Canis lupus familiaris: one gene and its partner. The protein of the gene in region 2 interacts with the protein of the main gene of each other region in a pairwise test. Links are inferred from orthologs where the notes say so. Each region holds a gene or a part of one and is shown on either strand. Other genes may lie near its edges. The genes, in order: GSTO2 and TFAP2A.

Evidence for each region.
Region 1: the proteins of TFAP2A (region 2) and GSTO2 interact in binary tests that used the Homo sapiens proteins (3 or more experiments, as listed by UniProt). The two-hybrid records come from large-scale screens. The link is inferred for Canis lupus familiaris from reciprocal best matches to the Homo sapiens genes TFAP2A and GSTO2.

What each region holds. Positions count from the first base shown.
Region 1 is NC_049249.1:16,772,231-16,776,748, reverse strand, and holds the start of GSTO2 (glutathione S-transferase omega-2), read right to left. Parts: upstream 3,015-4,518; 5' UTR 2,885-3,014; intron 1-2,884. Other genes in the region: GSTO1 (glutathione S-transferase omega-1), read right to left, coding at 4,430-4,518. UniProt on the Homo sapiens protein: Exhibits glutathione-dependent thiol transferase activity. Has high dehydroascorbate reductase activity and may contribute to the recycling of ascorbic acid. Participates in the biotransformation of inorganic arsenic and reduces monomethylarsonic acid (MMA).
Region 2 is NC_049256.1:11,474,132-11,478,664, forward strand, and holds the start of TFAP2A (transcription factor AP-2-alpha), read right to left. Parts: upstream 2,878-4,533; 5' UTR 2,665-2,877; coding exon 2,614-2,664; exon of another isoform or gene 2,452-2,613; intron 1,570-2,451; exon of another isoform or gene 1,213-1,569; intron 61-1,212; exon of another isoform or gene 1-60.

The DNA of each region.
Region 1 (4,518 bases), on a different chromosome or scaffold from region 2:
CACATTCTCAGTATAGTAAAAGCTCAGTGTGTGCACTTGAAAATTAATAACTAATAATAGTGAATAAAAACACATGTTTAATAGCATAGTGCACTCCAATTTTGTACCTAGAAAGATGAAATGCACTGCAATTCTGTTTTGTCAAGTGCATTAGGATGGAAATTCAACTCAGAATACTTCTTTCACCAGTTACCAATTTAATGCCAGTTGAATGGGTTGAATGATGCAGGCTACGTTTCAGTAGTGTGGTTTTTAATCTTACCACTGAATGCTATGGTTTCCCTGGAAAAATTTTAATTATGACCTTTAAACTTATCCCCACTTCCTTTTTTTTTTTTTTTAAGATTTTATTTATTTATTCATGAGAGACACAGACAGAGAGAGGCAGAGACACAGGCAGAGGGAGAAGCAGGCTCCATGCAGGGAGCCTGACGTGGGACTGGATCCTGGGTCTCCAGGATCAGGCCCTGGGCTGAAGGCAGCACCAAACCGCTGAGCCACCGGGCTGCCCTCCCCACTTCCTTTCTAAGAACTGATACGTACCTCTTTGAAATCCTCTACGCAAACTTTCTTTCTTATGTTATTGTATCATGTCTAGACCTCTATTATACTGATTAACTCAAGCAAAAAACAAATAGTAATATGGCCATATGAAACCTACTCTAAAATATTTCTAGCCACCTGAAATATAATCAGATCTGTTTTGAAAATGTGGGAAACTTCAGTCATGGGTAATAATGACTCAAGCCTTCTAGGAAAAGAATGCCACCACAGAAATAGTTTCTTTCTTTTTTTTTTTTTAAGATTTATTTATTTATTCATGATAGACCTAGAGAGAGAGAGAGAGAGAAAGAGAGGCAGAGACACAGGCAGAGGGAGAAGCAGGCTCCATGTTGGGAGCCCGAGGTGGGACTTGATCCTGGGACTCCAGGATCACACCCTGGGCCAAAGGCAGGCGCCAAACCGCCAAGCCACCCAGGGATCCCAGAAATAGTTTCTTTACTCATTACACAAGTCTCTGTTTTAAGGAAAGGAAAGTGGAGTTTGCGTTTTGTAGTTCTTAAAATCTTTTTTTTTTTTTTTCCACATCAGTCTCTGGCAGTGGCAGGAACTGGAGGACATTCTCTTAATATTTCAGAAGCCTAATTTACATGAAAAATTCTGTTACTGGGTGTTCAAAAATTGTTCACCAAGTTCAAAGAGTGAGATAAGTAAGGGAAAAAGCTCTATTTTCAAATAGGTCTAAACTCAGGACTATTTCCAGAAAGTTAGGATCATAAGGAATCCTATGTTCTAATGCCCTTGGAACGTTTTTGTTTCATTTTTATTGAGATATAATTGACATACAGCTCTGTATGAGTTTAAGATACACAACACAATGACTTGATTTACCTAACTGGTATAATTACCACAATAAGTTTAGTTAACATCCATCTCCTCATACAGGTATATAAAAAAATTCTCCCCATGAGATCTTTTAAGATCTACTTTCTTAGCAAATTTCAAATATATCAAACAGTAATGTTAAGTACACTCATCTCATTGTACAGTACATCCCCAGGACTTACTTATCTTATAACTGAAACTGTGTTCCTTTTGACCACCTTTATCAGATCCTACATCCCTCCTCCACGAAACACACACACACACACACACACACACACACACACACACACACATCTGGGACATATCAAATAAAATTACTAAAGTTATCAGAAGCGGAACTTCACCTCCCCATTAGGTAAACCTGAGTCAAAGGAGACTTTTTAAGTACTAGATTCTGCTTTCCGATTCCTATTTCTCTTTACAGCTTGGGGGATCACAGAAAAAAATAAATAAAACATTTTAACATGATAACATTTGAAGGAGCAAAGGCAGATTTTCAAGATCCCGAAAACAGCCAAAGTTAAACACCGTAAAATCAAACAAAACACTAAGTTTGGAAAAGGAACCTCAACACTTCCTGTTAAGTCCCAGACATATGATGTGTCATAAAGTGGATACTATCCTCTCCTGGCTTAACCTCTAAATGCTAGTGACTAAAGACAGACCCAGGTGGAAGCATATGTGAGTTCTTCTCTCTCAAGGACTCTAAGAGCTCAGGCTGGATTTGAATCACCTTTTTCAGCATTACCTAGGTTGGTGACCTTGAGAAACACACATTTTTCTTTCTATGCCCTTTTGATCCCATCCATAATTTGGAGGCAATAGTACCAATATATTCTAGGGCTTGGGGAGGATTAATTCAGATACTGGTTGAGAGGCATTTCATATCTAGTAAGCATCTAACATCAGCTATTATTTTTATTAGTATTGGAACACAGCAGGGAAGTCCCGTAAGTATTCATAAAGTGAAGACATTCCCGGGGACCAAATGCCGCACCTCCCAGTGTCCTGTAATGTAGCTAACCCAGGGGTGCCCAGTGCAGGACTGGGAATCCTGATCTGAGGTCCCCTTTACCTGTCTCCAGCCAAATCAGAACAATAAGAACAATTCAGTGAGGTTTTTTTTTTTTTCTTCCTTTTTACGCTAAAGGGATTCGCTTTAACGACCTATTCTTTAAGTCATAGACCTTGTGCCTTTCTTGATGTTAAAATCTTTGATGAAACTTTGATGAGGTTAAGTCGTCGGATTTTTCTTTTAGAAGGGTTAGGCAAACCCGAAATTCCTGAAAAACCCCCAAATCCAGAATTGACCTCAAGCCCCTTCTCCCTTCCAATGCCTCGCAGACCGGACAGACCACCCCCCCTCCCGCCAGGGACCTCCGCGCCGGGCTGGGGGACCGGACACCGGACCGGGAGCGGCGGCGGCAGCGCGGGGCGGGGGCGGGGGCGGAGGGAGGCGGGGCCCCAGGCGAACCCGCCCCCTAGACCGCGATCCTACCCGCCAACTGGCCGCGGCGCCCGGAGCTCCAGCCAATCCTTAAGGCCTTTGGAAGCTCCGCGGCCGAGCAGTACGCAGCCGAGCCAATGGGCGGCCGCGTTACAGGCTGCTGGACGCCGGAGTCGCGAGGCCTCGCCGTGTCCGTGGCTGGCCGCCGTGGAGGCCCGCTAGTGGCTGGCGGTGGCGCCTCGGCGCGGGGGTCTGCATCCGACCCGGGCCTGGAGGGCGGGGCAGGCGGCCGGCGGCAGAGGTGGGTCCGCCCGGGGCCTGGGCGCTGGGGGCGGCCGAGGGTGGGCTGCGGGAAGCCTTTTGTGAAGTCAACCGGTTCTCACTGCCTCTCGGGGCGCGGCCCCCGGATCGCCTGCATCACGGGGCGCGGGGGGCTCATCTCCAATGTGGACTTGGCGGCGCTCCCTGGACCCACCGAGTGGGGAACCCGGCGGCGAGCCTCGGCTGATTGTTATGCGCTCTTACGTTTCAGAATAAGCAGGGGCGGGCAGCCGGGCCCAGCGGTGCAGCACCCGCCTGCAGCCCCGGGCGTGATCCTGGGACCCGGGATCGAGTCCCGCCTCGGGCTCCTGCATGGAGCCTGCTTCTCCTCTGCCTGTGTCTCTCATGAATAAATAAATCTTTAAAAAACAAAAATAAGTAGGGGAAACCGATGGGGGCGGGTGGACAGCTCCCTGATTTTGATGGGAAGAGTCGTGTGCTGGCTGTGCTCTCCGGATCTCTCTGCCAGCATCTTGCGGACTCAACCTCGGGATCTGGGTGAAATCATCTGTACAATGAAATGATGCTCTCCGACCTGCCTTCTCATGGAGGTGATGGGATGTTAGAAATGAAATAGAAGCCTAGTGGGCTGTGGAAGTATATGCAAGGTGGCGTGAATGTTTTTGAATTACTCATTTAGATTTATACCGAATTGATGGAGGCTGTCCTCACAGTATATAATTACATTTATGGGACCCCTGCTGGGGTATCCTACCCAACACGGGAGTTGGCAGGAAAAATCTGAAGGGGATTGAGATTGGGGACTGGGAGACCAAATAGGACTCCTAGTTACCTGACTTTGAGGTGCTATGAGTCTAGTCTTCAGTGGTGACAATGGGAATAAGAAAGGTAGTGGAGTTGATGGAAAGGAAAGAATGAGGATTGAAGACTTGAGAGAGAGGGCAGCTCTTGAAACGACAGGGTATCCAAGTGGAAATGTCCTGTGGGCAGTAAGAAATCTAGATTGAAGTCCAGTTCTTACCAGAGACGATGACTTAGAGGTTTGCAGCACACACTGATAAAACCCTTAGAATCTTGTGAGCATCGTGAGACAGGAAATGTGCTTACTTTTCTACAGGAGAGCCTCAAGGAAACCCCACAGTTAAGCCATGATGTCAAATCAGAGACGGTGATCCAATGAGACGTGAGAGTGTAAAAATGTGAGATGAGAGAGAGGTAAAATGAAAGCGCATTTTTACTCATATTAGTGAAAGAAAATATCAGACATTTAGTGAAAGAAAATATCAGACATTTCATTGCTGACTCTTGCCCCCATCAGAGCCCATAGTCACAGGCCTCGGGGCTGTTCTGCAAGTAGAGATTGAGGAATCCTCGAAGGGTGTTGGCCTCATTGAGGAGGGCTG
Region 2 (4,533 bases):
GCGCAGAGAGGGAGAATGTGTGTGCGTGCGCGTGTGAGAAAGAAAGTGTGGGTGAGAGAGAGGAGCCCGGAGTGGGGAGAGGGGAGGGAGGGAAGGAGGGAGAGCCCGAGAGGAGGAAGGGAGGGAGGGAAAGAGGGAGGGAGGGAGGGAGGGAGGGGGAGGGGGCCGAGCCGGAGCGCACGCAGGGGGAGGCCGCGGGGGAGGGGCAGAGGAAGCGAGCGAGGACAATCAGACCTAAAAGGCTGGGGCAGACCTCGGGATGCCGTGGGGGCCGCGCGTCGCGCGCAGGAGCCGCCGGGGCCCGCGTCCGGGCATTCATCGGGCTCTCGGCGCGGGCGGTGCTGCCCTGCCCGCTGCGGCCGCGGGCTCCTGCGCTGCGCAGCCGGGCCTGGGGCTCGGGGTTCGGCGGCCCGCCGCCGCGCCGCTGCTCCATGACCCGGTGCCCCCCGCCCCCCTCCAGCCCCGGACCGCCCGGGCCGTCCGCTCCGCGGCAGCTGCCGCCCCGCCCTGGGCTCTCGGGGGCAGGGGCTCGGGGAGGGGGAGCCGGGACGCGGCCCGGGGCGCGCGGAGACGCTCGGCGGCCCAGCCCGGGCGCCGCTGGCACGGGCTCCCGGCTCCCGGCTCCCGGCTCCCGGCGCAAACCCGTCCGACTGGCTGGGCCACTCCTGCCCGACGCCCCCCCACCCCCCCACCCCCGTGACACGGCTCGCTCTCTCCCTGCGCCGCTGGGCTCCGCCGCTGCCGGTCCGCCTGCTGGGTTGTCAGGACACGCGGCACCTCGCCTCCTGCGTGTCCCTGCAGAGCCCCGGCGTAATTAGACAGCCCCGAGCCGGCTCGGAAACCCGAAATCCCTGCTCCGGCGCTCGCCGCCGCAAAGTTGTTGAAACAGCCCTCCCTCTGTTCCCTCTCTCCGCCTCGCTTACACACACATTCACACGCGCCCCCACAGGGCCCCTCGAGTTCCTCACCTCCCACCTAGGTCTCCCAGGCGCCCCGAGCCGCGCGGAGGTCGGGACCCCGCCCGCCCAGGGCTCGGCGCCCGCAGCTGGGTTCCAGCCTCCGCGAGGGTGACGTGCCCGAGCCTCGGGCCACAGCGCCGGCGGGGACAGTGCGCCCTCCGAGACGGAGGAGCTCCCTCGGACCCGTTCGCAGAGCCCTCCCACCCCACCCCCCACCCCCCACCCCTCGCCCCCGCCACGGGCCTCAAAACAAAGCGGCTGGTGCGCCCTGGGGTCCCTGCGCCCCGCACCGCGCACGCGGGAGGAGCCCCCAGGGCAGCGTCGGTCCCCGCGGGGTGTCACCCCGTGCCCCTTGGGGTGAGGGGAGGGCGGAAAGGAAGAGCCCGGGAAAGGAGAAAGATTTAAAATAGTCGGCGGAGAGGAGAGGGGGCAGGGAACCGGGGACACAGCGTTCGCACAAACCCCGGTTCTGATTTCAAGTGAAGACAAGACCCACGCTGCTGCGCCCGCGCAGACCTCTGCTCCACACATTGCCAGCTCCAAAGGCCAAATTCAAAGAAAAGAACGGAAAAAGAAAAAAAAAATAGCGAAAGCCGGGACTACCACCTATGTAGGTAACCCTCGGCCGCGGGCCCCCTCCCCCTCTCGTGACTCCGCGGCTCATTTCAGCGGGGGCTGCGAGGGAGCCCGGGGCCGCGGCGGCCAGGCCGGCTCCCAGCGCCTCCCGCGGGCGGGCCGGCGGTGCTGGGGCTTCCCCGGCGTGCCCCCGAGAAGCCGGGCTCCGGAGACCCCGGGTTTGCAAATGGGCTCCAACGAGGCGCGCTCCATCCGCGCGCCCGAGGTCGTGTGCCGCCCGGCCAGGATTCCCACGGTCACGCAGCCGACCGCCGGGCGCCTGCAGGGGCTGAAGCCCGGGGACCCGGCGGGCAGGCGGCTCCACGCGGTGCAGCCCTCCCACCTCCGCTCCAGGGGATGCTCTCGGAGTGTCCCTCAGAGGGAGACGCTGCTCAGAACTTCCTCAGTAGCACAGAGCGAGCCCCGCAGCAATTTGGGAGAGGGGTGCCTCCAAACTGAACCCGAACACTGGGAGGTGCGACCCAGCTCAGACTGAAGTGTGCGAGGGGGGGCCCTTCTCCAAACGGAAAAGAGCCTCCCTTTTTAGGAAGAGGGGAGGGGGACGATAGGAAGCAAAGAATGAATAAATGAAGGAATAGTAAAGATCGGAAGTTACGGAGGAAAAAAAGGGGGTCTTCTCTTTGCTTTCTCTTCCTGGTGATTCGCCCCCCCCCCCCAATCTCGCTGGAGAGACACGCAGGGTGCACAGACGCGTGCCCAATTGCCAGCAACTGCTTCCAAACCCCATGCTCGTGTCTTCGCTTCACTCTTAGGCAGACCCCCAAACTGGCCAGAAAAAAAAAGGGGGGGGGTAGTGGGACACGAGCTTCGAAGGAGAGAAATGAAAGAAGACAGCGTCCACATCCTTCCTCTCCAGCTTCTCCCCTGCGTTCTTCGGGCAAATTGGAGAGGCGGGCGCTGCGCTGGGGAAAGTTTGTCCCACCCGCATTTCGCAGCTGGCTGCGAGCGGAGGAGGAGGAGGAGCGGGAAAGCAGAGCTCGGAGCCTGCGGCCGCAGGGAGAGCCAGCGCCGCGCTTACCTCGCAGTCCTCGTACTTGATATTATCCGTCAGTTTCCAAAGCATTTTCATGGATCGGCGTGAACGGATTTGCCCCCTTCTCCGCCTCGCACCCAAGTGGAGCTACTCTCTGGGTAAGCGCAAAGTGCGGGCTGCCGGCGGTGAGCGCAGGAGGAGGAGGAGGAGGGCGAGGAGGAGGAGGAGGAGGAGGAGGGCGAGGAGGAGGAGGAGGAGGGCAAAGAGGAGGAGGAGGAGGAGGAGGGCGAGGAGGAGGAGGGTGAGGAGGAGGAGGCGAGAAGGGAAAGAGCTCCTGTGTGCGCTCGGAGATCTCCCTCTAATGGTAGAAACTTTTCCCTTTTCCAGCTCTTTACCAACAGCCTAATCGCCTCATTAGCATATCAACAATAGTCCAATTGCTCGCCAGCACCTGCAGTCTGCGGCCGGCCGCTCCGACCCAGGTATAAAGGCCTCTCCGAGCCGCGAACTTGCTCCTAGAGCGCACGCCCGCCTGCGAGCCGACGAAATCTCCCCTGAGACCTGCCGTGCGCCCGGGCCCCGGCCACCCCCGGTCCCCGCCGCCGCGCCATTCCACCCCAGTCCTCTCCCCCTCCGTCTCCTCCTCCAGGGAGATGCCATCCGCAAGGGCCCGGCGCTGTGCAGGGTCCGCGCCGCTGCGCCTGGGGCCCGCCTTTCAGCACCTCTCCCTCACCCCTGCCCGCGCTAACCGCGCTGTCCTTTCGGCCCCGTCCAATTTTATTAGAAATTATTATCCCTTTCGCAATTAAATATAATCATCAAACCGAGACCGGCAAAGTCACTCCAGGATTTTTGCCCAACAAGAGATCGCCTCCGCTCGCTGCAGCCACCACCTCGGGCCCCAGCGCCTTGGGAGTTTTATTGGCTTTGCTCTTCCCACCCCCCCCACCCCAATCCACCCCCCCTCCCAGGTTGAAGATTTTGCCAAACGGCTCCAGTCGCTCGGCTGGGGTTTGCGATCCTTTAATTGGCCGCGTGTAAAATAAAAATTGTACCCTAAAGAGGTTAGTTGACAGCTCCAGGGGTTAAGTGATTTTCCTCTCGTTTGTATGAAGCCAGGGCTGACTGATAATTCAACGTGGTGTTTGGGCTAAGGGTTTCCTAGGTGCGATGTGGACAAAATACAGAACTCCTGTGGAGACTCACAGCCGCTCCTGGAGTTGTGCCGAAGTAACCGACATGTGTGCTCCGTGTCATGCATGCATCAAAATAAATCGCTGGGAACCAACTCTTCGCTGCGCTAATCTGCTCCAGTTTTCCCAAGATCCCCCTTTTTAATTAAAGCAGGGAGAGTTCCTTCATGATTTGGTGATGTTACTAAAGCGGGCGCGCTGGCGGCGCAGTGCCCGGCTGAGGCGGAACCGGAGGCCCCGGGGCCACCTCCTAGTCCAGATTGGCCAGTCCAGGCTTTTCCGCTCCACGCAGGGACCTGCTCGCCCCAGCGGGGATTGATATATATATATATTTTTTTCCTTCTTTTAGTGAATTGTTTTAAAGAAGAAATTATAAAGAAAGACGAGGTGTAATCCTTTGAAATACAGAGTAATTAATTTATCTGGCTGAGCTGCTCATTTGTACTCCGTATAAAAGTTTTTGTGTGGCTTTCTCCCTCCTGAATACTGCAAACGCACCAACGTGGGTCTGCCTCAGAGCTGCTCTGGTAACGACTTTTAGTTCCATCTAGGCCTGGTTTTGTTTTTTTTGTTGTTTTTTTTTGGGGGGTTTTTTTTTTGCAAATCTCCAGGCCTCCCAGGTCTCCATAGCATGTCCTTGCAGAAGGGTAAAGGCTGTTGCAAACCCGAGCATTTCTTAACAGGTGGAAGGAAGGCAAGATGAGGGAGAACCACCTTCCCTCACCCCCCACTCACCCCCCATTTGCAGAAGGGCAATTCTCCTTCCGGACGA